Linked DNA regions of Neodiprion lecontei. The main gene of each other region encodes a partner of the protein of the gene in region 2 in a complex. Links are inferred from orthologs where the notes say so. Each region holds a gene or a part of one and is shown on either strand. Other genes may lie near its edges.

The links. Proteins that work in one complex are often made in the same cells at the same time.
Region 1: the proteins of uncharacterized protein LOC107223905 (region 2) and kinase suppressor of Ras 2 are in contact, whole or in part, in a cryo-EM structure (PDB 8BW9), measured with the Drosophila melanogaster proteins. The link is inferred for Neodiprion lecontei from reciprocal best matches to the Drosophila melanogaster genes cnk and ksr. Residues at the interface, in NP_001286524.1 of Drosophila melanogaster: Lys79, Asn80, Asn82, Gln84, Leu88, Glu183, Asn187, Ile190, Gln191, Ile193, Ser194, Asp195, Pro196, Val198, Leu199, Gln200, Pro201, His288, Thr289, Met291; in NP_001287177.1 of Drosophila melanogaster: Arg900, Gly901, Met902, Lys903, Gln904, Ser905, Leu906, Ala907, Gln910, Ser911, Gly912, Arg913, Lys916, Asp917, Met920, Tyr925, Lys945.

The regions. Positions count from the first base shown.
Region 1 is NC_060266.1:5,384,943-5,388,699, forward strand, and holds the start of kinase suppressor of Ras 2, read right to left. Parts: upstream 2,601-3,757; 5' UTR 2,435-2,600; coding exon 2,282-2,434; intron 1-2,281.
Region 2 is NC_060260.1:24,525,148-24,528,904, forward strand, and holds the start of uncharacterized protein LOC107223905, read right to left. Parts: upstream 2,494-3,757; 5' UTR 2,388-2,493; coding exon 2,330-2,387; intron 1,787-2,329; coding exon 1,197-1,786; intron 1-1,196.

The sequences.
Region 1 (3,757 bases), on a different chromosome or scaffold from region 2:
GTCATCTTTAAACTTTTATCTTTCCGAAGAATAGCTGGCTTAAAAGTTTGATATACAAATATTTTAATAATCTAAAAATGAGTTTCGTATCATGTATATTATTTTACAAAATTATAACGAACACAATCATGAAACTCAATGTTGAGTTCCAAATTCATCGCAACAGCTAAAACCTAAGGAAGAAGTTGAAAGGTGGTAGAATAAACGGATTTAAAAATGCAGAGATAAATAAAACAGTAGACATATATGCAAAATATGCATCTTCAAATTAAAGAAATCAGCTTTTTCTTCTGTATATGTAAATCCTTAGTATAAATAAAAACGAATTTCCTTGTTCCTTTCCACAAGACATGCTTTTGATATTTACTTGGAATTTTTTTTATCAATGTCGACTAGATTATGGACAGAAATGTAAGAAACAAGAGGCATCACTTCACTGATTGAATAAGATTGGTGTAAGACTTTTTTATAAATCGTACCTACAATTCAATAGTTTGACCAAGTTCAAATGTGTGGAAATTGAAAATTGATTGGGTACAAAACTACAGCATGTTGAAATCCCATGTGAAAACACAGTATAATTTGTACAGGTCATAGAGAACTGCAGGAAATTGACATATTAATGTGGCTGTACTAACAATGCCATGGTAACAACCAAAAAAATTTGTCCATGATAGTTGAATCATTGTCGAAGTTTGAAGTATTGTATGGAATTCTTTCGGGAACTTAGAACTTGGCTTTATTAGGCAATGAGACGCATTTTGCATGAAAATTGAGATTCCCAAAGTGTATTTAAAATTTTTTTAAATCTACAACATAGTTGTCATAAATGTTTAACGGTTATTTGACAAATAGACTGATAATAGACTGAAAAAAAAAAACACGTGGATATTATTCCTCAATCTCTCATTTATCCAAAATCATGTTTTTTATACTTGAAGTGTGGCAAATTTGAACTTGAACACTGAACTTGAAATATACTGAATAAGCAGTTTTATTTTAGACATAAGAGCAGTTAATTCATTGGAGGCGTTGTTACCAAACAATTTTTATTATACAGATGTATTGTTAACTTGGATAGATTCATGAAATTTTATAAAGTATACCATATATTTTTACACTTAGAACAGTAAAAATCGTAGTAATTTCCAGGTTTCTTGAGTATTAATTGTAAAATTATGTCATCACACAATGGTAGAATAGAAGAAAATTAAAATGCTCCGAGAAAAGTGCTACGAACGGAGATCTTCTGAGTTTGAAAAATCAATTTTTTAGAGTTTAGATGCTGACCCCATTTCGCTGACTTTGTCATTAAAGTTTATGAAGTAAGGAATATGTCATGTTAGCATAATCAATCTTGTTCTAGATATTTTTGAAGTATAACGAGGAAAATTGGTTCCGGCTTGTGATTAACACAGAAAACTTTCTAAGCAACAATGTTTCAATAACAAACATTCTGCTCTTAGATCAACCATCTGAAATCAACTTAAGGACTAAAAAAAACAAAACAAACATAACACAATTTTTATGAATATTACCATGCTACAATAATTTGATGCTGATTGTAAAATTTTAAGACTGACTTCCTATGAAGTGACACTGAAACTTTTGCAGTGCGCCACTTGATTATTAAACTAACTGGGTCAAGGGAATACAAATCACAAAGAATACATTTTAACCGATACTGTGTTTTAAAAGAAAGAAACGAGTAACTATGCAATAATAGCAGTGTTATCAATTTCTTGTAGAAGGAAAATTGAAGACTGACAAGTCTTTGAAAGATACTTTTCATATGAATGAATTCTCTGCTACTTGGCACAGAATCCTACCCTGTGGATAAGGTACACATTAAGAAATAAAAAGAAATTCTTAACACGACAAGCGGTGATGTTTTTAGAATCACTGAATGTTGTGAGAATTTTGTTTAACTGAAAACATGGTATCAAACATTGAATTACAACTGTATTTATCGACAGCTCGTTTCCAAGAATTAAATGATAAGCCTTGGCGCATCATGTTCTCGAGAATTATTATACCGGCCTATATTAGAATCAGTGCGATACGATTGATCAATTTTAAATAATTGGACGGATTTTTTAATTGGAAAATAGGAATATTCGAGGCTTAGAGTAGCAGGAGAAAGGAATGATTGATATATTTTCTATTTCCTGTAACAGGTCAAGCGGATTTGGAGCAAGAAGGAACATGAATAGGCGAGTGATATCGGGAAATTAGCGAAGCAAAAGGCGGCCAATTTCATAAGAAAAAATGCATCGTGTACCTCCAGCGTGCGTATTTCTTGTTGTGTTAACTCCGCGCTGGTAGAGCACTGAGTCCGTAAGCCTTCAAGCCGATCGGCCCAGATGTCAATCATGGATTGATCGACATCTAGGGCTCGCCGAATGTCCTGTTCAGCCTCCTCGCTGTCCGCCATGAGAAACGGTGACAGCTTCTTGTCTCGGTCACTAAACAACTTGTTATTTCACCAACATAGTATCCCCGACGCGAGGCCCCTATCGAATTCAATATCACAGGTATCGTAAGTAACCAAACCACTTATCAACATTGACAGCCATCTTGGCAGCCTATCAATGACGTCAGAGACGCCCGGCAGTCGTACGTATGGAACCCTCCCCGCCCTGAACCCCTTGTCGACGATCAAAGTCCAGTACGTGCGTTCGCAAACTCATCACTTCCTACCTTCATACGTTGTAGTAGGCCTTTTTTATCGAGCGAGTCAATCAGGGGCACTATAGAGATCAGTGATCGAAGTCTATGGGGTGCACCAGCCTCCTAACACTCACCACTGCTCGTATACTGAAAACTTGTACGCGTTTTGTCCCCGTTTTTTAGTTCCTCTACGTGGCGCTAGTAGACTTCTGACACGCTCGCTGCCCTCGCTGAGCGCGCGCAAGCTTGTCAGACAACTACTAGCGCCACTAGTGGTGGGAATTGGCGGCAGAATCGAGGGACATTTTGCGAACCACTTTTAGCAGCGTGTGTCAGGAGGCTGGGGTGGACACTACCATTCCACGGACAAATTACTCGTCGGGCTTGGACCAAACTGTAGCCAACATAATAGTGATTAGGACTAAAGATATTATAGAACATTTTATACTATCACTACCGCCACACCAATCGACTATCAAACGATTGGATAATCGAAATTGAAAAAAACTCAAGTTGCTCGGTCAACTTTACGTACGAATTGGTAATTCAGTGTTTGTGGCGACCATAGACTCGGCGACCAAAAATGTAGCCAAATAAAATTTTATATTATATACTTTTGTCCCATAGTTGTGGTATCGCTTTGGTTCAAACCTTTTGAATACCGTATGGAGGAGAGTATAAGTAGTCCACCCCCTGCGAGTCTACTGGCTGTTATTTTTCGTCACTAATGATGAACTGATGTATAGAACTTCTTCAAGACACTTTCTAATATTCTGAAAAGGCCACAAGACAAATATTAAGGAAACGCAATGCTCTGCCATGAACAAATTTCATTTCTTAGTTTACTAATGATACCAAAAAATAAGGATCAACTAATTCGGTCGATACAAAAGCGCTATCACATGCCCTTAAAGTCTCAAAAATCCAGGTTCTCTCAGGTTTTTCCTCATAAAACCCGAGTAAAATTGGATCTGATTCATTACACATTTGTGATGCGATGAGTATTGCATTTCTGTTTAGCGTCATTGAACATGGAATTAATGATATAACCCATTTGGTTAATTTATTAACTATTAATCAATAATTT
Region 2 (3,757 bases):
TGAAATTATTCATCTGATTGTGAGTAAAAAATTTACAACTGTATTGCGTTTTAATCTTGATATATATATACAGGGTGTCCTATTGCTGAAAATATGCTCAAATATATCAAAAACTAAGCATTAAATTGAACAATGTGTCGGACAAAAATTGTTGTATATGAAGGGGGACATCAGATGAGCATCCCAGTTTTTGGATCTGGGGCCTTTGCTGGGCCCATTGGGGCCCAACTTTCGTTTTTCAAATGGAACCTGCTATTTTTTATTTTACTTTCGTATTTCTCATTAAAAAGTAAGTTTTACTCCTAGTAATTTTTTAGTTATCGTCTTCAAATAAGCGTAAAACTTTATTAGAAGTTTTCTCGTGAGAAAAGTGGTAATACATCAATCACTGTCAAGAATTTAAAAATGAGAACAAATTCTACAATGAATAGAATTGTTCAATGTTGAAAAGTGGTTAGGCGCTTGTTTATGTTTGTTTTTAAGCATTGCCAAGCATTTAAGAACTGTGGGAATTAGCGTCACTTGATGTATACCCTAGGGAGGTTGTTTGGTCAGATTTTTAAAAACTTTTTTTTCACTTTTGACCGAAACATCTTTCAATTTAATGATTAAATTTCGATATATTGGTGCGTATTTAAAAAAATGAGACACCCTGTATTAGCGTAGACATGAAAATTAGTCATCACTACGTACACTATTAAAAGATTGATTTTATATGAGATAATTTAATCGGACAAAAGAATTCTGTATAAATCCTTGTAATTGCATTTAAATAGTATTTCATACTGCTGAAATAGGTTCCATAATTGAATTGTAAGTAGAATACAGAACTCCATGGTCGTATTAAATTCAGATTGTACACAAGAAGTATTATCTGCAGAGGAAATGACAATCTTACCGACATTCATGCTTTATCTCAAACGGATGTGGTTGCTAAGCATTCATTGATGTTTATTGATAATATTGAAAAGTCTCATAAGAATCTTTTACTCAATTAACAATAACTTTATCTCGATCAAATTAAATCTTATTATTACTGTTTTATATAAATATTGCACAACTTTTAAATATATATTGCATAGTATCATACGATGTATATGAGAAATTGAATAAGTTAATTATGAAGCTGATTTCATTGTCAAAAGAAAGATATCAGAAAAAATGCTATAGAAAAACGATTACTTTTCATTACTTACCAAATCATCACCTGGCCTTTTCTTTAACGTTGCTAAATCCAGACTCGCTGGCTGTAATATCATCGGATCGGCCATGTCTTGTATAATGTAATCAGCCAATTTAGCTAGTTGTCCACAAGTAGTTCTTATCTCTTCAATCGGTCTTTCAGCGAATCTGTCACGTTGAGCGCAGGTCGCCATTTCTATGGAAAGCTTCAACAACTCGGCCTTTTTATCATTGTATTCTAGTTGGCCGCTAAACGGAGATCGATCAAGCCAACAGACCAAAGGCTTCAGAGATGTTACAACCGATGCTACGTCGGATAAAGTTTGAGTGGTGACGGGTTTAGAATCGGTTTGTCGAGATAATTCATTATGCAGACTGTGGGCCTGACAAGACAGTCGTAATGCCAGAAGCTGCAAATTTTCATGGTCAAGTTCATAGTGAAAGTTTCTCAAATACTCAACAGCTTCGAGAATTATTTCTTGATGGCCAAGCTTCAGTACCCCAAGGTGTTCTAAGTCTTCCGGTCTGAGATTCAGTAGTTGTTGACCATTCACAACATGGTTCATAAAACTGTGAACGTACGGTAACACCGAATTGTCTAAGCCTGTCGAGAGAATTGCAAGAACGTATTAGCAAATGATGAATGTTAAAAATTATTGTCAAAAAAATATAAAGGACTTTGGCAAAAGTGAATCTGATTTATGGGTAAAAATGTATGAGAACTTTACAGAAAGATATTTTATACAATCACCCTGAACGATGCACCCTGACTAAGAATGCATAATAATTATCAGATCTGGAATGAATGCATCATTGAAGTTTCAAGTAACAAAGGAGAGAATTATTTTTAGAACAACAAAAACAAACGAAAGACGTTCATTCAGTCACGCACATATCGAATTTATCAATGGATTACGCAATTAGTCATACTGAATGAACGAAATTAGCCTTCACAAACGAAGTTTGTATTTGTATAACATACATGTATGGACGTAATAAACTACGAGGGCCGGGGGGCGTATACAGGAAATGGAGTTTTCGCGTCGTATAATACGAAAAACCGTCACTGAATTAATACGTACGATTCTAAGCACTTACAATGTGGCATAACAAATATTACGAAGTAATAATCAAGCCTTCCACGTACCTTTCAACCACTCACACACCTGATCTGTCTTCCATTCTGCGACATTGACGTACGCCATGGTTGGCTATTCATCTCTGACTAAAGATCGTCCAACACGAAACTCTCCCTCATGCTCTCCCTCCTCGCTGTGATCCCAATTCGCCTGGAGTTAAGGAGCCCGAACGCTGTACTATGGATGTGGACCCTGAAAGCGACGCAAAAGATATATAGGCTGTGGTGGCGCTGCTGTCGTCAGTATAGGATATAAGTATTATTATTACAGCAATGACCGGGCGTCGATAACGAATACTCCACACCTCATAGCATCACCAATGCCATACTTCATATCCTATACTCAAGGTCATTAGCCTATACTGACAAAACAAGCGCGCTCGTGGCTGAATTTCGAACTACAACCAACATATATCTTTTTCGACGATTTCAGCGTCCAAATTTATCATGATTCTCGTGTGCCGTTCGACCTCCTTAACTCTAGGCTCCATGTCCATGAGTGTGAAATGTATATCAGTGGTGTAAACACGGTCTTATAGACAGGTCTGGGAACTCCGGCTGTAAAACCGTGCTCGAAAATGAAGCCGATGTTGTGAAATTTCGCCGCTAGCGCTAGTGAGGGAGAGGCCTACTTAGGCCGTGTTCGTAAATTGACTGACAGTACTGAAAATTCCCTAGGACAGAGTCAGAGCTATTCACGAACTTGAAAGCGCAAAAGAGATGAAAGATTGCTGACAGTACTGTCAGTCAATTTTCGAACACGGCCTAAGTAGGCCTCTCCCTCCCTCCTTTAGTACGCATACACCGGTTTCGGAGATTGCAGCGCTCCGGTCTTTGGTGCACAAATTGAGAAACACAGGCTACAAGACGGTCACGCTGCGTTATATGTATAGGAAGAGGCTTGGAGTGCCCAGACCAGTGGCCCAGACTTGTCTATAAGACCGTGGTGTGAAGACTGGTAACCTCTCTCCATCAACGTTGCAGGCAACGCACAGAGAGAAGCCTGAGAGAGCCCACGCTAGCGTTTTTCGTGTTCCCGATTTCGTAGCGCACTCTGACACGAAATAGATTTCTGGAACTAATTTTCGAGGTGCATTGTCGGTAAGCGCATGTTGTTAACAGACCAACACTGCCGTCTTTAGCATCACGGAGGCAAGTTGATGTTCGTAATTTGTTCAATTTTTACTGCTGCTGCTGATCGCCGTAAAAGTGTTTTGTATCATTCACTGCTTTCGTAATGCCAAATACGGCAGAGTATTAAACGTTACCAACATGCCTTTACCATGCACCTCGAAAATTAGTTCCAGAAGCCTGGCTTGTCAGAGAGCGCTACGAGATTCGCAACACTCTCAAGCTTTTCTCGGTAATGCAGCACGTTAGTTTTTCCAACTCCCGTCGTGAACGCTTCACTTAGTAGAACTCCACAGCTGGCGTATG